Saccharomyces cerevisiae S288C: one gene and its partners. The protein of the gene in region 3 interacts with the protein of the main gene of each other region in a biochemical or structural test. Each region holds a gene or a part of one and is shown on either strand. Other genes may lie near its edges.

Region 1 (6,288 bases), on a different chromosome or scaffold from region 3:
GGCCTTAGATGGGTCCTTACCAAACAAAGATTTAACGGTTTCGACAACCTTAGGCATTCTGGACATACCACCGACCAATAAGACTTCAGATATGTCTGAAGTAGACAAACCGGCGTCTTTCAAAGCCTTCTTGACTGGGTCGACAGTTCTCTTAACTAGTGGGGCTGTCAAAGTCTCGAATTGAGCCCTGGAGAACTTCATGTTGATATGCTTTGGACCTGAGGCATCAGCAGTGATAAATGGCAGGTTGATTTCAGTGGAAACGGTAGAAGATAGCTCAATCTTAGCCTTTTCAGCAGCTTCTCTAATTCTTTGGATAGCCATACGGTCATTTTCCAAATCAATACCAGTTTCGGTCTTGAAACGAGAAACAATCTCTCTCAACAAATAGATGTCGAAATCTTCACCACCCAAATGAGTGTCACCGTTAGTGGACTTAACTTCAAAAACACCGTTGTCAATATCTAAGATGGAGATATCGAAAGTACCACCACCCAAATCGAAAACGGCAACAACTTTAGAGTCGGATTTTTCCAAACCGTAAGCTAAGGCAGCGGCGGTTGGTTCATTGACGACACGTAAAACGTTCAAACCAACAATTTGGCCTGCGTCTTTAGTAGCTTGTCTTTGAGAGTCGTTGAAATAAGCTGGGACAGTGACAACAGCATTCTTAACTGGCTTACCCAAGTAGGCCTCAGCTGTTTCCTTCATCTTGTTCAAGACGAACCCACCGATTTGGGCTGGTGAGTAAGTTTGACCTCTGGCCTCAACCCAAGCATCCCCGTTGGAGTGCTTGACGATCTTGTATGGAACTTGCTTGATATCTCTTTGCACTTCAGCGTCTTCGAAACGACGACCAATCAAACGCTTGGTAGCAAATAGGGTGTTTTCTGGGTTCACTACGGCTTGACGCTTGGCTGGAATACCAACCAAACGTTCTCCCTCTTTAGTGAAAGCTACTACAGAAGGAGTAGTTCTGGAACCTTCGGCGTTTTCAATAATTTTTGGAACTTTACCTTCCATAATGGCAACCGCAGAGTTGGTGGTACCCAAATCGATACCGATGACGGAACCTTGAACCTTGGTTGACTGCAAACGTGTGGCAATACGGAAAGAGCTAGACAAGCTTGACCTGTTTAGTATGTTTTTAGCAGCAAGCATCTTGGTGCGTATAATATGAGATTTGTGTAGTCTTAATTATATTAAATGGGTCGTAAATACAAAAGTTGTCACTCTGGCAAAGGTTGGTGAGCAGCGGGGCGTCGATATGTACAGCAGGCAGAGGAGGACAGCAACGTATGGAGTTTTCAAACGTGGAACAAAGAACCCAAAAGTTCCCAAGCGTCGAGCCGGCGTTGGATCGTTCGTTTTTATACACCGCACCGTAAGCGGTCACCGGAAAAAGAGGCAGGGGGCGGTGGAACCGGGCCGAAGCCCATGGAAAAGCTCTGCCGTTGTGGGTGATATACAATTATTCAGCGCATCTAAGGCACTAGCTTTAGCACATTGTACCATTGCGATGATGCGGAAGAGTTTAATATAAGCAGATGTTAGTTGCGGTAGTTGGTATCATGACAGTGAGCTGAACTACGTAGCGTCGTGATTTATGAGTGGCACAGCTAATAGTAGGAGGAAGGAGGTTTTGCGCGTGCCTGTGATAGATTTGAATAGAGTTTCAGATGAAGAGCAGCTGTTGCCGGTGGTGAGGGCAATTTTGCTACAGCATGACACCTTTCTGTTAAAAAATTATGCTAACAAGGCTGTTCTAGATGCACTACTAGCGGGGCTCACGACAAAGGACCTGCCTGACACGAGTCAAGGTTTTGATGCGAACTTTACGGGTACATTACCGCTAGAAGATGATGTTTGGCTGGAGCAGTACATATTTGACACTGATCCTCAATTACGCTTCGATCGGAAGTGCAGGAATGAGTCACTGTGCTCCATATATAGTAGGCTGTTCAAACTGGGTCTGTTTTTCGCCCAACTGTGTGTGAAAAGTGTGGTTTCTAGCGCAGAATTGCAAGACTGTATCAGCACCTCTCATTATGCGACTAAGCTGACCCGTTATTTCAATGATAATGGTAGTACACACGATGGTGCAGATGCAGGTGCTACCGTGCTGCCCACTGGCGACGATTTCCAGTACCTGTTTGAAAGGGACTATGTTACTTTTCTTCCGACGGGCGTGTTGACCATCTTCCCCTGTGCCAAGGCTATAAGGTACAAGCCATCGACTATGGCGACGACGGACAATTCTTGGGTGAGTATTGATGAACCCGATTGTCTTCTGTTCCACACGGGGACCCTCCTTGCGCGCTGGTCTCAAGGTATGCACACTACCTCACCACTCCAGATAGATCCTCGTGCGAACATTGTTTCGTTGACCATCTGGCCTCCACTTACTACGCCAATCTCGAGTAAAGGAGAGGGTACGATTGCCAATCATTTGTTGGAGCAACAAATTAAGGCTTTCCCAAAAGTCGCTCAGCAATACTACCCACGGGAGCTTAGTATTCTAAGACTCCAAGACGCAATGAAGTTTGTTAAGGAGTTGTTTACTGTTTGCGAGACTGTATTGTCTTTAAACGCTCTTTCCAGATCCACGGGCGTCCCACCAGAGCTGCACGTTTTGTTACCCCAGATATCCAGCATGATGAAAAGGAAAATAGTGCAGGATGATATTTTGAAGTTATTGACCATTTGGTCTGATGCATACGTAGTGGAACTGAACTCTAGAGGGGAGCTGACCATGAATCTACCCAAAAGAGACAATCTAACAACGTTGACCAATAAGTCTAGGACTTTGGCATTCGTGGAAAGGGCAGAGTCGTGGTACCAACAAGTGATAGCTTCCAAGGATGAGATTATGACTGATGTACCCGCTTTCAAAATAAATAAAAGAAGGTCCAGCTCTAATTCTAAAACAGTCTTGAGCAGTAAAGTGCAAACGAAGAGCTCTAATGCTAATGCCTTGAATAACTCAAGATATTTGGCGAATAGTAAGGAAAATTTCATGTACAAAGAGAAGATGCCTGATTCGCAAGCAAACCTTATGGACAGACTGCGTGAAAGAGAGAGACGTTCGGCCGCATTGCTTTCTCAAAGGCAAAAACGTTACCAGCAGTTTCTAGCGATGAAAATGACTCAGGTATTTGATATTCTTTTTTCGCTGACCAGGGGCCAGCCTTATACAGAGACATATCTAAGCTCGCTAATCGTAGATAGTTTACAAGATAGTAATAATCCTATCGGTACAAAAGAAGCAAGTGAAATTTTAGCTGGGCTACAAGGTATCCTACCAATGGACATATCTGTTCATCAAGTGGATGGTGGGTTAAAAGTTTATAGATGGAACAGTTTGGATAAAAACAGATTTTCTAAGCTGTTGCAAATCCACAAATCAAAACAACAAGATTGAAGAATATTTTTAGATATAAGGTAGAATACGTACATTTACGGTAAAAAAAAAAAAAAAAGAAAAAAAATTGATCTTGATACATACGTTGGTATTTTACTTTGAAGACTGTGCATTGTGTATGTACGAAAAGAAAGGGAAATAAAAAATAACGACAACTGCAGGACTCGAACCTGCGCGGGCAAAGCCCAAAAGATTTCTAATCTTTCGCCTTAACCACTCGGCCAAGTTGCCTTTAATCTCTTGAGTTTGTTTAAGGACAACACTGTCCACCTGGCATGGGAATATTACCATTATTCCAGATTCGGGCTTGTTATTAGGACTTTTTACCAGCTTGATTTACCGGTCATTACTTATCCTACACATCATACATCACAACTACACTTGGTGAAGAAATCACAGAGCCTTGGATTTGTAACAATTATATGTTTACGCAATTTATCTTGGGAAAGCAGGGCCTCATTTGTGGACATAGCACGGTCTGTCACCCTCGTCGTGCAAAAAATATTTTGACTTCTACTCTTTTTGAAGTTTCGTTGATCGGGTCCCTTCCAAGGAAAAGTCGAATGCTGTCACTGCGCATATAAAGGCGAGAACGATAGTGACTGTGATATTAAGTTATTGTCATCATATAAGTAATTTTTTCTCTGATATCTGTAGCCCTAGTTTTTAATATTTTCGTAAAATGCTCAAAAAAATTTCTGTTTAAATTCTTCTGGGGTATATACACATGTTCCCGTCAGCTAAATTAAAAAGAAGAAGGAACCGAAAGAAGGCAAATTATAAAGTAATCATCCTCGGCATATTGAGGGGAAAATATCCGTCAAAAAAAAAAGTTCTGCACGTCGTCATAAGTGACTATGGTATCAAACACCAATTAACACGAACGTAGCGATAATGAAGGCAACTTCGTAGCTGAAACAGAACGAAGTTAGTTAGGATGAATAATTATGATTATGATTATTATAATATTATATAAAATGTATAAATAAGATTTCTAGATCAAAAAAACATCGCGTATTTTGTAAGCTATAGAAATCTAAAATATCTAATCAGATCTTGGAGCTTCCTTGAAGGAGATGGCAGCTTCTTCACCCATGGCAGAAATGATAGTGACCATCAAATCCTTACCTTCATCGAAAGCAGCTTGCATGCTGTCACCCAATTCACCTTCTGGTGCCTTGACATCGTCTTTGGTTTCACCGTCCATGGTCATCAAGGACAAGTAGCCATCATCAATATCCAACAATTGGTATTCGCTTCTCTTGACAAATGGAACTTCCAAGTTGTGAGTGGATGGAGACAAATCTTCCAACTTCTTACCAGTGAAGATATCAAGGGTAACCAAATGGACCTTGGCGTGACCGTGCTTACCGGTCTTGGAAGTGGACATGTCGACAATCTTACATGGTCTACCTTTGATGACAACGAAACCATTCTTTCTCAAGGCAGAACATTGCATTGGGTAGGTGGCGGAGGCACCAGCGTCAGCATTTTCAAAGGTGTGTTCTTCGTCAGACATGTTTTAGTGTGTGAATGAAATAGGTGTATGTTTTCTTTTTGCTAGACAATAATTAGGAACAAGGTAAGGGAACTAAAGTGTAGAATAAGATTAAAAAAGAAGAACAAGTTGAAAAGGCAAGTTGAAATTTCAAGAAAAAAGTCAATTGAAGTACAGTAAATTGACCTGAATATATCTGAGTTCCGACAACAATGAGTTTACCAAAGAGAACAATGGAATAGGAAACTTTGAACGAAGAAAGGAAAGCAGGAAAGGAAAAAATTTTTAGGCTCGAGAACAATAGGGCGAAAAAACAGGCAACGAACGAACAATGGAAAAACGAAAAAAAAAAAAAAAAACACAGAAAAGAATGCAGAAAGATGTCAACTGAAAAAAAAAAAGGTGAACACAGGAAAAAAAATAAAAAAAAAAAAAAAAAAAGGAGGACGAAACAAAAAAGTGAAAAAAAATGAAAATTTTTTTGGAAAACCAAGAAATGAATTATATTTCCGTGTGAGACGACATCGTCGAATATGATTCAGGGTAACAGTATTGATGTAATCAATTTCCTACCTGAATCTAAAATTCCCGGGAGCAAGATCAAGATGTTTTCACCGATCTTTCCGGTCTCTTTGGCCGGGGTTTACGGACGATGGCAGAAGACCAAAGCGCCAGTTCATTTGGCGAGCGTTGGTTGGTGGATCAAGCCCACGCGTAGGCAATCCTCGAGCAGATCCGCCAGGCGTGTATATATAGCGTGGATGGCCAGGCAACTTTAGTGCTGACACATACAGGCATATATATATGTGTGCGACGACACATGATCATATGGCATGCATGTGCTCTGTATGTATATAAAACTCTTGTTTTCTTCTTTTCTCTAAATATTCTTTCCTTATACATTAGGACCTTTGCAGCATAAATTACTATACTTCTATAGACACACAAACACAAATACACACACTAAATTAATAATGACTGAATTCAAGGCCGGTTCTGCTAAGAAAGGTGCTACACTTTTCAAGACTAGATGTCTACAATGCCACACCGTGGAAAAGGGTGGCCCACATAAGGTTGGTCCAAACTTGCATGGTATCTTTGGCAGACACTCTGGTCAAGCTGAAGGGTATTCGTACACAGATGCCAATATCAAGAAAAACGTGTTGTGGGACGAAAATAACATGTCAGAGTACTTGACTAACCCAAAGAAATATATTCCTGGTACCAAGATGGCCTTTGGTGGGTTGAAGAAGGAAAAAGACAGAAACGACTTAATTACCTACTTGAAAAAAGCCTGTGAGTAAACAGGCCCCTTTTCCTTTGTCGATATCATGTAATTAGTTATGTCACGCTTACATTCACGCCCTCC
Region 2 (5,147 bases), on a different chromosome or scaffold from region 3:
ATAACTGCAATCTTTCCTTATCCTTGGCATTAGTTAAGGCGACTATTTTACCTTGTGGTACTATATTATACGGATTATTCATTGAAAAACCAGCGGTTTCCAACATTCTGACTATGTCCCCTTTGGTCACGTTTCTGTCATTTAATTGATAGTCATCCTTCTTCAGCCCTACTGTTCTTCTAATGGTCACTTCGTCATCTCCTCTCGAAAGTACACCGGAGGGCAATATCATAGAATGATCTGGATCGTGGAACACAATTTCTACCGAGGCACTCATCACTGAACCACCAGAACCTTGGTGGATAAGCCCTTGCCTTTCTTCCCTCTTAAGATTAGAGTAATCGTCACTAAGAACAAATCTAATCGCAGCGAAGAAATTCGATTTACCTGAACCATTGGAGCCAATAATAACATTCTGATGCGGCGAGAAATTATCAATAATGGTTTCGTTCCTGTAGGTTTTAAAACCCTTAATTATCACCCTTTTGATATACATTGCAGACGTGAACTATTACCGTTACTCCAGCAGGTCGTCTTGTAAAAAAATGGTGAAACTGTTTAAAGATGAGGTTGAAAACTCATCTTTAATTAGTTTAATCATTTCCTAACGCGTCGCGTCTTTTCCTATTCCTGAGACTTTTTTTCTTTAGGTTCCTAATAGTGAAATGTGACAGGTGTACACTTCGATGGCAGGCAAAAATAGAGCCAAAACTGCTTATAAGTTATTCCAAGTGAAAGGAGTTGGTTGCGAGAAGGGCCCAGAAGGTTTCATTCATTGTTGGTTTAGTGTATTACTAAGGCCGATCTTAACGTCTACGAAACGAAGTATGATACTGATCTCGGGATACTGTCTTTTAGTGTATAGCGTTATTTTGCCAGTACTGATATCGGCTTCTAAGTTATGTGATTTGGCTGAGTTACAACGATTGAACAAGAATTTAAAAGTAGACACTGAATCCTTGCCAAAATACCAATGGATCGCTGGGCAGTTGGAACAAAACTGCATGACTGCGGATCCAGCAAGTGAAAATATGTCAGACGTAATTCAACTAGCCAATCAAATATACTACAAAATTGGGCTGATCCAATTATCCAACGATCAACATCTAAGAGCTATTAACACATTTGAAAAAATCGTTTTTAATGAAACTTACAAAGGTTCTTTTGGGAAGCTGGCGGAAAAGAGGCTACAAGAGCTGTATGTCGATTTTGGGATGTGGGACAAGGTGCATCAGAAGGATGATCAGTATGCGAAATATCTGTCCTTGAATGAAACCATCAGAAACAAAATATCATCCAAAGACGTTTCTGTGGAGGAAGATATTTCTGAGCTGCTACGCATAACGCCGTACGATGTTAACGTCCTCTCCACGCACATCGATGTTCTTTTTCACAAACTAGCTGAAGAAATTGACGTTTCGTTAGCTGCTGCTATCATTTTGGATTACGAAACAATCCTCGACAAGCATTTGGCTAGCTTAAGCATAGATACAAGACTTTCGATTCATTATGTCATATCTGTTTTACAGACCTTTGTACTTAACTCAGATGCGTCGTTCAATATAAGAAAATGCCTTTCCATTGATATGGACTATGATAAATGTAAAAAACTAAGCCTGACTATTTCCAAATTGAACAAGGTGAATCCATCAAAAAGACAGATCCTGGATCCAGCAACATATGCATTTGAGAACAAAAAGTTTAGAAGTTGGGATAGAATTATTGAATTTTATTTGAAGGATAAGAAGCCATTTATTACACCAATGAAAATTCTTAACAAAGATACAAACTTTAAAAACAACTACTTCTTTTTAGAGGAAATTATCAAACAATTGATAGAAGACGTTCAACTGTCGAGACCTTTGGCAAAAAATTTATTCGAAGATCCCCCAATAACCGATGGTTTTGTCAAACCAAAATCATACTATCATACCGATTATCTAGTATACATTGATTCCATTCTTTGTCAGGCTTCTAGCATGAGTCCGGACGTCAAGAGAGCTAAACTGGCTGCGCCGTTCTGTAAAAAGAGTTTGAGGCATTCACTAACACTAGAAACATGGAAACACTATCAGGATGCTAAGTCCGAGCAAAAACCTTTACCTGAGACGGTATTGAGTGATGTATGGAATTCCAATCCTCATTTGCTGATGTATATGGTAAACTCAATACTTAATAAAAGTAGGTCTAAACCTCATTCACAGTTCAAAAAGCAATTATATGACCAGATAAACAAATTTTTCCAAGATAACGGCCTCTCAGAGTCGACCAATCCATACGTGATGAAGAACTTCCGATTATTACAGAAACAATTACAAACCTATAAAGAGCATAAACATCGGAATTTCAACCAGCAATATTTCCAACAACAACAACAGCAGCAACAACACCAACGACATCAAGCACCCCCAGCAGCGCCTAACTACGACCCAAAAAAGGACTATTATAAAATTCTTGGAGTATCGCCTAGTGCTAGTTCGAAAGAAATAAGGAAAGCATATTTAAATTTAACCAAAAAATACCACCCAGACAAAATAAAGGCCAACCATAACGACAAACAAGAATCAATTCACGAAACTATGTCACAAATCAATGAAGCGTACGAAACATTAAGTGATGACGATAAAAGGAAGGAATACGATCTTTCCAGATCAAACCCCCGCCGCAACACTTTTCCTCAGGGGCCTAGGCAAAATAACATGTTCAAAAATCCAGGAAGTGGCTTCCCATTCGGAAATGGCTTTAAAATGAATTTTGGGCTTTGATGAAATACATTCTATGCCCATTAACTAGGATACCACAACAAGTACATATATATACATACGCATATCACTGAAAGTTCTAATTATTGCAAAGCCAGCACTTTTTTAAATATTGAATTCTTCTTCATCATTTTCAGTACCAGCGGTAAGAGATGCTGTGTGAATTTCTCGCAGTTTATCCATGATTTCAGTAATGAACGGCCTCAACTCATTGATTTCTAATAGACTTAAATTATCCAATTGTAAATGAGATTCATTCAAATACTTAAGGCCTTTTAACACTTTGATCTGCCTTATTTCCCTTAAGTCTTGTATTTTACCACGTAATTCGTGAATGGGGTCATGAAAATCATCCTTAGCTTTATTGAAAAGTATACGTGCCAAGACAAGCCAGTTCCACGGCAACTCACTAAACCTATCCGGATGAGTTTTCTCATATTGTATTTTTCTATCAAGCTCTTTCGTCGTTAACCACTGTGGTGCTACAATACTGCACTTGGATTGTTGCTTCAGTAATAGAGCGATCCAAAGAACCACTTCTGTAGAACGCATGGCTACCATATTATTTAAAGCTTTGTCATCTGTAGTAATAAGTTGCCAGCGGGTGTGGTTTCCAGTTCCTCTATCATCGCCACGAATTTTTTGGCGTGTTGTTATTCTGGGAAAAATCTTTATTGGCTCGTTTTCCACAATGAACTGTATTTCTTCTGGTGAGAAAGTCTGCTGCAAATGTGCCGGTAGTGACATGCGTCTATGAAACTAGTCTTATTTCAGATCAGCCGTTGATCCTCTCTAAGTATAAAACTCTTTTTTGTTAACCATTTCATAGTTACACTTTAGGCGACTGATTTTTCATTAAATGGAAAATATCACAAGAAATTTCACGCTGGAGAAAAAAAAGGTTAGTCATCACTGATCTTCCCATGGAGTCATAAGCACGTTCGACATAAATTGTGAAAGTTAACACATTTGAAGCTAGGACCGTCAATCTAGGACACTAGTCGGTTACTTTTATCATGTGGAGGAGAATATTCGCGCATGAACTCAAGTATGATCAACCCAATGCATCTTCAAAAAACTTGATCCTTTCAGTTCTGAATACAACCGCTACAAAACGAGAGGCTAAGGATTATCTCTCAAAATATACAAATGATAGTGGGCAGCATAATCATTGTTTGTTTTTTATCAGGGACCTGCATAAAGTCGCACCAGCGATTTTGTCCCAGTTTTCAAGTGTCATAAAGAGACTAGGAATGCTAGGTTTGCGACCTATGTTTGTAATTCCGCCGTCGCCAACTCATGTAAATATACAGGCAGAGTTACTTGACAGTATCGTTACAGAAGCAGATTTAAAGCCACTTCACCTTAAGGAGGGTCTTACTAAATCCCGCACTGGGTTATATCATTCTGTTTTTTCGCAAGAGAGTCGTTTCTTTGATATTGGAAATTCCAATTTTATACCAATTGTGAAACCTTATGTGTATAATGAAGAGACTGCTTCAGAATTCATGACAAAGGATGTTGTAAAATTTATGGATTGCCTGTGCCAAGGGAATATTCCACACATTGACAAATTCTTCATTCTAAATAATGCCGGAGGTATACCTTCGGGAGAGAGAAATGATAACGCTCATGTATTCATCAATCTTTCTCAGGAACTCGAGCATTTGTCCTCGTCATTATCTCACAATATAAGCACTCTAACCAAACGAGAGCCACGCTCCCAAAACCTGTTACACAGAATGGAGGTGTACGTTAAAAAAGATGAGATATCTTCCTTAGAATGTGAATACCATGATCATTTAGAAAACCTGTTATTGATGGACAAAGTTTTATCAAATCTAGCGGCTACAGCAACGGGACTGATTACAACTGTCAAAGCTGCCGCACTATCATCAGATAGGAAAAATCCTTTAGTATATAATTTATTGACAGACCGATCGCTAATTTCTTCTTCTTTACCAAGGTTTAAAAAAAAGGACGGCGAGATAGACTCACCAGCCAACATGTTTGATGATCACGCATGGTATGAATTGCCTTCCCAACAGGTAAATGCAGCTCCTTCTAACTCAGATGCAGTTTTAGTGACAACTGTTCTCAAAAAGGGCGTCCATATCAAAACTTATGACTATAAGACGCTGACTCAATTCAACTCAATTGGGCTTCCAAAGAAGTTTCACGTACCTGAGAAAGGAGCAAAACCCTCGAGCAATAGTCCAAAACTAGATATCAACAAATTTAAATCCATCATCGATCAGAGCTTTAAAAGATCTTTGGATTTGCATGACTACATAAAAAGGATTAATGGAAAAATAGCTACAATTATTGTGATAGGTGATTATGAAGGCATTGCAATTCTTACCTATGAAGGCTCGGAGGAAAATT
Region 3 (9,706 bases):
CAATCTGAGAAGAAAATTCTGTTGGATAATATTTTTACTGTTGGTGATACTGGTAAAGATGACCAGCATTGAACAACCTGCAGCATCACTCGGTGTGTTATTGCATGAGAATCTCGTGTACTACGAACTGAAAAAGAACGGAAACCAAATGAACGTACGATTCTTCGGTGCCATTGATGTTTCACCATCTATATTCCCAATCTACATGAATGCAGTAATGTATTTTGTATATAAGCGTAGCTGGTTAGAAATTGCCATGAATTTCATGCCAGGTCACGTAATTTACTACATGGATGATATAATAGGGAAGATTTATGGCATCGATTTGTGTAAATCTCCGTACGACTGGTTCCGCAACACTGAAACACCCTAAAGGAAAGGCCGTTTTTATTTACCAAAAACCAATAACAAAAGTGAACGCTTGATAAACAAACATACTTAGCATAAATAACTACATATAAAATAGGCCAAGGATAAATGAAACGTTGACTAGAATGAATGAAAGATGTGAAAACAGTACAGTTAAAACTGCAATCCCACAAACTAAAAATAATATGAAGAACCTGTCTCAAATGTATAAATGCAGAATAAATAAGTAGCCGAAAAAGTCTCGGTAATTTTCTCCCTAATGATAACCCATATTTTCGAAAGACTCTAAAACCTGGTGTATGATCGTTGAGAACAAAATTCGTCCTTGTAGTAGTGTGTGTCTTTAGAAGCCATTCGGGCCGGTAGAAGGAAAGGTGTTGTTAGTCCCAGAGTGATGTAAGCAACATAAAACAACGTCGTCAGCTTTTTACTGGGAGCACTTGCCTTGTATGATTTAGAAACTTGTGAAAATGATTTCATGGCCAGCATTGTTAGTCCTCGATCTTTTGTGATATTTCCTATATATTACAAAAAAATTCTTGGTTTTCGCCTTGTCACAGGGAATAAATGTGGAATATAAAAGAGAGGAGAGGAGAGGAAAGAAGAAAAAAAACTTGGTGTCCGTTTGCAGATGGCCTATTATATACCCTGCTTATATAACTCTGAGAATTAGGAATATTTTGCTGTTGCTATGGTAATTAACATATTTCCAACAATAATGACCTTCTCGAGCTATTGTCTTCCTTGCAGTGGCGAAGAAACCACCGGAGAGTTGCAACGAACTGCCTTTCTTAGGAAGTGCGCGGGCTCTCTATTATGATAGGCCGATACGGTACAAAAGCTTAAAGTTGCCTTTGTATTACCTTTTTTAATCGCAGCAAACAATGCGAAGCACAGGTGTTCACTTTCCTTAGCTTCCCCTTTTCCGTGCTTTTGTTTATACTTCGTACAAAAATGAGGGGAAGGTACCAGGCAGGATACCTCACTGATTACGACGACAAGGAAAAGAGTAAAAATAATTTACTGTAAAACTTCCAAATTTGTCTGAGAGCAACAGAATAGAAGCACAAAGAAATGTACCCTACGAGAGACAGAGAGGGTAAAAGAGTAAGTAAATTCTAAAGTGGTGTGAATGTCATAACTTAAACTATTACCCACGGGATACCTGCTAGGTCAACGTAGCCGCTACTCGAATATAATAAGCGCTTCTTGTATATTTTCTCAATAACAGGTCGAGGCCCCTTCTACCCTTGAATGCTACTTATTACTCACTCATAATACATTGTATAAGCCTTCGCGTTTTTCACGGCCTCGAAAAAATTTTTCTTAACTAATTTACCCAGAAAGGAAATTTCCTTATAAGGAAAATAAATGCAATTCATTAAGTCGGTTTGCTTCTTTTTTCACGAAAGTGAGATACAAGCAAAGGACCAGAGCGAGATGTACTACAGTAGCAGGCTACATACACGTCTTTACCAATAACTTACATTTAGAAAGGCAATATAATCACTACCTAGATTAGCTTGAATCTTGCAGGAAGAACTCAATACAGATAGACCAGATTATGAGTGCGGCACTTCCATCAATTCAGCTTCCTGTCGACTATAATAATCTTTTTAATGAAATCACCGATTTTTTGGTGACTTTCAAGCAGGATACGTTGTCTTCTGATGCAACACGAAATGAGAACGAAGATGAAAATTTGGATGCTGAGAATATCGAACAACATCTATTGGAAAAGGGGCCCAAGTACATGGCGATGCTACAGAAAGTGGCTAATAGGGAACTGAATTCCGTGATTATTGATTTAGATGACATTCTACAGTATCAAAACGAAAAGTTTCTCCAGGGCACACAGGCAGACGACCTTGTGTCTGCCATTCAACAAAACGCTAATCACTTCACTGAATTATTTTGCCGTGCCATTGACAACAACATGCCGCTACCAACAAAAGAAATTGACTACAAGGACGACGTTCTTGATGTTATTTTAAACCAAAGGAGACTGAGGAATGAGAGAATGCTCTCGGACAGGACCAATGAGATCCGAAGCGAAAACCTCATGGATACCACGATGGATCCACCCTCTTCCATGAATGATGCGTTAAGAGAAGTTGTCGAGGATGAAACTGAGTTATTTCCTCCTAATTTAACTAGACGCTATTTCCTTTATTTTAAGCCTCTATCGCAAAATTGTGCTCGTCGTTACAGGAAGAAAGCAATTAGTTCTAAACCATTATCTGTTAGGCAGATTAAAGGTGACTTCCTAGGCCAATTGATTACCGTCAGAGGTATTATCACCAGAGTTTCTGATGTCAAACCAGCTGTGGAAGTTATCGCATATACCTGCGATCAATGTGGGTACGAAGTTTTCCAAGAGGTCAACTCTCGTACTTTTACTCCGTTGTCAGAATGTACTTCCGAAGAATGTTCCCAAAATCAAACAAAGGGTCAATTGTTTATGAGTACACGAGCTTCCAAATTTAGTGCCTTTCAGGAATGTAAAATTCAGGAGTTATCACAACAAGTGCCAGTGGGTCATATTCCTAGGTCGCTAAATATCCACGTTAACGGGACGCTGGTAAGATCTTTATCGCCTGGTGATATCGTCGATGTAACTGGTATATTCTTGCCAGCGCCCTACACCGGTTTCAAAGCTTTGAAAGCTGGCTTACTGACAGAAACTTATTTAGAGGCACAGTTTGTCCGTCAACACAAGAAGAAATTTGCGTCTTTCAGTCTGACTTCTGATGTAGAAGAGAGAGTTATGGAATTAATCACCTCTGGTGATGTTTATAATAGGCTGGCAAAATCTATTGCACCGGAAATCTACGGTAACTTGGACGTAAAGAAAGCGTTGCTGCTATTACTTGTCGGAGGTGTTGATAAAAGGGTAGGTGACGGTATGAAAATCAGAGGTGATATCAATGTTTGTCTGATGGGTGATCCCGGTGTTGCCAAATCTCAACTGCTGAAGGCCATTTGCAAAATATCACCTCGAGGAGTGTATACCACTGGTAAGGGTTCCTCAGGCGTTGGTCTGACCGCTGCCGTCATGAAAGATCCTGTCACGGATGAAATGATTCTAGAAGGTGGTGCCTTAGTACTCGCTGATAACGGTATTTGTTGTATCGATGAATTTGATAAGATGGATGAAAGTGACAGAACGGCAATCCATGAAGTTATGGAACAACAAACAATTTCGATATCCAAGGCGGGTATCAATACAACTTTGAACGCCAGAACCTCAATCTTAGCGGCAGCAAATCCGTTGTATGGTAGATATAATCCTAGATTATCACCTCTGGACAATATAAATCTACCAGCTGCTTTACTATCCAGATTTGATATTCTCTTCTTAATGTTAGATATACCAAGTAGAGATGACGACGAAAAATTAGCCGAGCACGTTACATATGTGCATATGCATAATAAACAACCGGATTTGGACTTCACTCCAGTAGAACCCTCTAAAATGAGAGAGTACATTGCCTATGCTAAGACAAAGAGGCCAGTGATGAGTGAAGCTGTAAACGATTATGTGGTGCAAGCTTACATCAGATTAAGACAAGACTCCAAGAGAGAAATGGATTCCAAATTTTCCTTTGGTCAAGCCACTCCGAGAACTTTACTAGGTATTATAAGATTATCTCAAGCGCTAGCAAAGTTAAGGTTGGCTGATATGGTGGATATAGATGATGTGGAGGAAGCCTTGAGGTTGGTCCGAGTCTCCAAGGAATCATTGTATCAAGAAACCAACAAATCTAAAGAAGATGAAAGCCCCACAACGAAAATCTTTACGATCATCAAGAAAATGTTACAAGAAACTGGTAAAAACACGCTATCATATGAAAATATTGTGAAAACTGTAAGACTAAGAGGGTTTACCATGCTACAATTAAGCAACTGTATCCAAGAATATTCTTACTTAAACGTCTGGCATTTAATTAATGAGGGTAACACTTTGAAATTCGTGGATGACGGTACCATGGACACAGACCAGGAAGACTCACTAGTGAGCACGCCTAAACTCGCACCACAAACGACCGCTTCCGCTAATGTGAGCGCCCAAGATTCTGATATCGATCTACAAGACGCTTGAAAGTTCTAAAAAAAAAAGCAACAGGGCCTTCATTCTTTATTCTTTTTCCCCCTTTTTTTCATTTCCATATAGCTGCACATTCAAATTTACCTTCTGTAACTTACTTCCAAGGCCCAGTTTTCAAGATATGTATTCTGTATTATTATAATTTTACTAATATTATTCATCGCTTTTGCCAGCCACAGACCCCACACATTTCGGACTTAACATTATGACTGCGCATGTCCGTGCACCGCGGCCCAATTCTTGTTTTTTTTTTTTTGCGGAGAAAGGAAAATTATCTTCAAGCGGAATAGGGCCAGCTAGTATTGCTCAGATGTGCCTGTGGAGAGCCGTGCTACAGGGTACCGTCAGCCCCTGAGTATACCAGAGAGTACACCGTGCGGAGTTCTTCCAGAAAATGAAAAGATTGTTCTCAGAATAATTCGTAGCGCTTGATAATAATCCGAATTTGAGATACCTGCCGGCACCCATTCTGTTATCGCCAAGAGGACTTTTAGGGGACCCGCAGACAGTAAAATTTTTTTCATTCATTAACATGTGAAGGCAACATTCATCGATCTCCATCCCTACTGTCAAAAATATAAGTATATATATATATATATTTATATAGTCTATATATATATAGTCCCACTCTCAAACTAATATAACCTTTACAAACCTGTCCGCTCAGTACGGTAGTCCTATTTTATTCCGTTTACTAGATTATATTTGAAGATATTTTTTTATTCTTGAAAATCCCGGACGATAGTATTTTTAGCTGAAGAATATTTGCGGGGAGGAACTATATAGACACTCGAAGCAAGAGGGGAAAAGGAGAAAGAAAAAAAGGTACACTAAACAAGGTCGAGTGTATTGATGTCAAGTGCTTCAAGACTTCAAAACGTCAATATTGTTTCTAACAACTATTCTCGTTACGGAACTTCCGTTTACGATAAGTTGTATCATAGTAACGGCAGTGGTAGCAATAATGCTGGTAAGAATTCTACCACAGTTGGTAAACTGTCATCTATCTCACAAAAGTCCAGGAGCAAACAGCGTCATGGCTCAAATTGCTCCAGATCAATGAGTCAATCACCCTTATCGACGTTCAAATCTCCACTCAGCAATCAAAATCAATCCAGCGCTCCTGATGATTTGGCTTCCATAGGTCAGAGACGCAGTGACGACGTCACATCTTTAGATAATGAAACTATCATAACGATGAATTCAAGGAAATCAAGGATTAAAAAAAAGTATAAATCCTTAATCTCCACCTCTTCAAAAAAATTTATGAATAAATTGTACGATCATGGTGCTTCATCCGACTCATTTTCTATATTTTCTCTGAAGACTTCCCATTCTGGTAAACATGAAAATTCCAGATTTGAAAAGCTGAGGAAGAGAAAATACCATGCTTGGGGCAAATTTGCCGATATCAACGATTTACCAGTTGAAATAATTGCCAAAATACTTTCTGAATTCGAGTTAGGTCGTGATCAAAAGACACTCGTAAGATGTCTATACGTATCGAAGAAGTTTTATAAGGCGACAAAGATCGTCCTTTATAGGCTACCTTACTTCACTTCCACTTACAGAGTGGCGCAGTTTGTCACCTCACTAAGATTACATCCGGATAACGGGGCATACGTGAAAGTATTGGACCTATCACACTTGAAGCCGGGAATTATAGGCCAAGACTCGAAGGATTCTCAAGGCCTAGACGATGATGGCCACTCAAGGCGTCACAGACGCCGTCGCCGCAGATCTACTAACACAAGTTTGAATCTACCTCCAGCTACTCCAACATCTACCATTTCTAACGAGGATGATGCCAATAGCGGATTAATCAAAGACGACGCTTCAAATGGCAGTGAAGTTGAAGACTTGGCATTAGCTGGTTGGAGAGACTGGAGATACAGAAATGAACCCCTTTATAGCTCTCCTCTGTTGAACAGCTTTAAACTGAAAAAAGTGGTTTCTCGTTCTTCTTCTATCACTTCTACATCTTCTGGAAATTCCACCGGTGTTCACTCTACAAGGAGACAACGTTCCAATAGTTCCGTTGCTTCCATAACGACGAGTATCATGTCATCCATCTATAACACCTCCCATGTCTCATTGTCTTCAACCACGTCTAATACCAGCAATGGTAACATCTCTTCTGGTAGTAATCTGTCAAGAGTTTCCACTGCTGGATCATTGAAAAAAGCTTCTGCGAAGTCCACAAGGTCATCTCCTCAGAAAGCAAAACCTATATCTGACATTACGTCATCTTCCTGGTTTAGAATGAGGTTAAGTTCAAGAAATAGAAAGGCAAGGACAGCTAATACGATTAATTTAAAGAACTCGAAGGATAAGTCTGACGATGACTTTAAAGTTTTAAAGCACGATTCGGGGCATCCATCCAATTATCGTTCTTCGACATTAAAATTTAGCATTGAACAACCATTTAGTACGCATCATCCGTATGCCAACAAATTTCTTTTAAAGTACGCTCCTTATAAAGATCTGCCCCTAGGTTATATTTTACATATGCTGAACCTGTGTCCTAACCTTGTTGAACTAAACCTTTCCAATTTAGTTATTTGTACCGATTTCAAATTAATCAACCAAAGATCCGAAAGAAGAAGGATGACATCTTCACTGTTGCCCGCTGTCCAGGAGTCTAGTGTTTCTGCAGGCCCTGAGAAAGATTTAGAAATTGTCTATATGACCGATTCTGGCAAAGGTTATGAATATTATGAGGGGTTAAGCAAGAAACACTCACGTTCTTCAAGCCTAGGTACCAATCCATCTAGTTGGATTGGAGGTCAGGCGAATTGGACAGATTACCCACCTCCAATCGATGCACAAACGAAAACAAGAGAGGAACACAGACGCAACAATACCTTGAACAATAAGAACGTCGTATTAAAGAAGCTAAACCCTTTTGAAATTTTTGAAATGATCTGCAATAGAAATGAAGAAAAAGGTGGCTACTGCTCCTTAACTAAGGTGAAAATGAATGACATTGTGTGGTGCAGGCAATATATGGTAAAGTATTTTGTAATGAGGACGTTTCGCCAGCATTTGGATTATAAATCCATGGAAAACAACTCTTATGAAAGACACTTATTCAGTTTCCGGGACTCTGGCTTGGATAGAAATTTTTCCTGGGCTTGTAATGCCAAATTGCATGAATTTGTCGCATTGATGGTTATGGATCATCTTTCAAATTTAGATGATTTAGGATTAGAAGAGCTTTTTAATATCAAGTCCGAAAAGCTATATATAAAAAACTATTGTTGCCGAGACCCGGATATTCTCGAAATATCAAACTTATTTGATATTAGATATGGGGCCGGATCTGAGGCTGATGCTACTTCTGATTCCAATCTCGAAGCAGAATCTTTACAATTCAGGTTGACAATATTAAAAACAGAAAAGCCAACTTCATTTTGGCTCACAAAAGTTTCCAAAGATTATGTTTCTTTAGTGGTTAAATTATGTGTGGATGATGACATTGATATGGACAAAATGAAAGTTGGAAAACCAACTTTGAGAATAGACAGTATTACACACAATTTGATTAGTAGGTTAAAGGAGTTGAGGAGAGTTGATCTAAGGAGAAATGTTGGCGAAAATAACTACTATGCTGAAAGCATCATATAACGACTGCTCTCTTTTAACAGCATACGTTCTGTTAATTTATTTGGCCAAATATTATTGATGTTTATTTTTTTCTTTTTTGCATAGCCTTTCTACATTTCATGGCTTTATTTATTTATATTTATTTTTCGTTTCCTATTTTTTTGCATACATAGACACTACCTTTGATTTTTGCTTGTAAGATGTACGATATAAAGTATACTATGAAAAATTTGAAAATATTGGTCTTAGTTACTTTTTCTGGTTTGTTTTATCAATTCATGTAGCAGTGTGCACGAAAATCTAGTTACGCAATGTGAAATCTAGAAAACCTTCTACAATTTGGAATTATCAATCACCTCTCGTTGAAAGTTTTCACACACCAATTCTGGACGGTCGAAGCATAAATTATGAGAACAGTCAGGTAAAATAATCACTTTACGAAGACATTCTTTATTTATAGTTTGTTTGTAAAATTCCAAATTTTCAATAGGAGCTATAGGATCTTTTTCAGCGCCAAATATTATAATTTTCTGTTTCATATCCGTTTGCGTCAATACACCATTGAATTTAACCCAATCAACAGTTTCCCATCCTAGTAAATAACCTATGATGGTTCTACTTTTGTTGCTTATGTTGTTTTTAAATTGCCAGAACTTCCTGTATTTCAACTTGACATCATCACCTTGTTGATAAAAATACTGCTTGATGCCGGAACTTTGTAGACCTTTTACCTGATCGAATTTGTTTCTATAAACGTCAAATAGCCATGGCAATTTAAACACACCATAGAGAGCCCACTGGATAATATGTTTATCCTTAGAAAGCTGCTCGATATGTGCTTTGGGGGGCGTCAACAAAACTAGCGTTTGTACCGCTTTTGTATCAGCCATGTGCTGCTCGTAAAGATGACATGCCAGAAAACAACCCATAGAATGCCCTACAAGCACTATCTTATGACCGTTAAATGGATTTACGTTATCATTATTCGGCACCGCTGTAGACCATTTTCTTAAGACGTCACATACAAGAACGAAAATAAGTTCCACCACTTTCAGCATGGGGTAGTCGCTCCATTCTGAACTATGACCAAAGCCGGGCAGATCTAACGTCAAAAATGCCTTTTGATCAGAGTCCACAAGCTCGAGTAAGGGTTCAAATTGTTCTAAGTTGCCAGCCAACCCAGGCACGAAGACGAAAACAGTATCACCCCGTATCCCTTTATCGCTCAAGTTGTGACACGTCCTTATTCTTGAATTTCGATCCGATAGTTGTACATTAAAAAACTCCTCATGTTCTGCGATAAACTTCAACCTAAAGTCCAAATCTACCTCTGGTTTGCGAATGTAAGCTACCAAATCAGCTGCATTTTCTGCATTTTGAACAATCTCTTCTAGCGTCTTTCCAGAAAGGGGCTCACAGGACCAACTTTTTGTTGCTTCTGCACGTTCTGCCATATTCATTACCAAGAGAAAAAGTTCTCGGTTTAAGGCTTTCTTCTAACGTTGAGTTACGATCCAAATGCGACTGTACCATCTTGGTAGTTCTTTATTAATGAACCCTTTAAAATTGCCGGGTTAAAAGAATGGCGCGTCCTCTTGAAACTTTTCGAAGAAAACAACGTAA

What was found.
Region 1: the proteins of MCM7 (region 3) and TAH11 form a complex in vitro, tested with the Saccharomyces cerevisiae proteins (2 studies listed by BioGRID).
Region 2: the proteins of MCM7 (region 3) and PSF2 form a complex in vitro, tested with the Saccharomyces cerevisiae proteins (2 studies listed by BioGRID).

Annotation. Positions count from the first base shown.
Region 1 is NC_001142.9:520,442-526,729, forward strand, and holds TAH11 (Tah11p), read left to right. Parts: upstream 1-1,606; coding exon 1,607-3,421; downstream 3,422-6,288. Other genes in the region: Hsp70 family ATPase SSC1, read right to left, coding at 1-1,161; ANB1 (translation elongation factor eIF-5A), read right to left, coding at 4,467-4,940; CYC1 (cytochrome c), read left to right, coding at 5,894-6,223. UniProt on the Saccharomyces cerevisiae protein: DNA replication licensing factor, required for pre-replication complex assembly. Faithful duplication of the genetic material requires 'once per cell cycle' DNA replication initiation and elongation.
Region 2 is NC_001142.9:302,354-307,500, forward strand, and holds PSF2 (DNA replication protein PSF2), read right to left. Parts: upstream 3,510-5,147; coding exon 2,868-3,509; downstream 1-2,867. Other genes in the region: cohesin subunit SMC3, read right to left, coding at 1-496; JEM1 (Jem1p), read left to right, coding at 828-2,765; ARG2 (acetyl-CoA:L-glutamate N-acetyltransferase), read left to right, coding at 3,779-5,147. UniProt on the Saccharomyces cerevisiae protein: Functions as part of the GINS complex which plays an essential role in the initiation of DNA replication by binding to DNA replication origins and facilitating the assembly of the DNA replication machinery.
Region 3 is NC_001134.8:623,839-633,544, forward strand, and holds MCM7 (DNA replication licensing factor MCM7), read left to right. Parts: upstream 1-1,933; coding exon 1,934-4,471; downstream 4,472-9,706. Other genes in the region: DER1 (derlin), read left to right, coding at 1-373; MIN7 (Min7p), read right to left, coding at 655-858; COS111 (Cos111p), read left to right, coding at 5,330-8,104; LDH1 (triacylglycerol lipase), read right to left, coding at 8,416-9,543. UniProt on the Saccharomyces cerevisiae protein: Acts as a component of the MCM2-7 complex (MCM complex) which is the putative replicative helicase essential for 'once per cell cycle' DNA replication initiation and elongation in eukaryotic cells.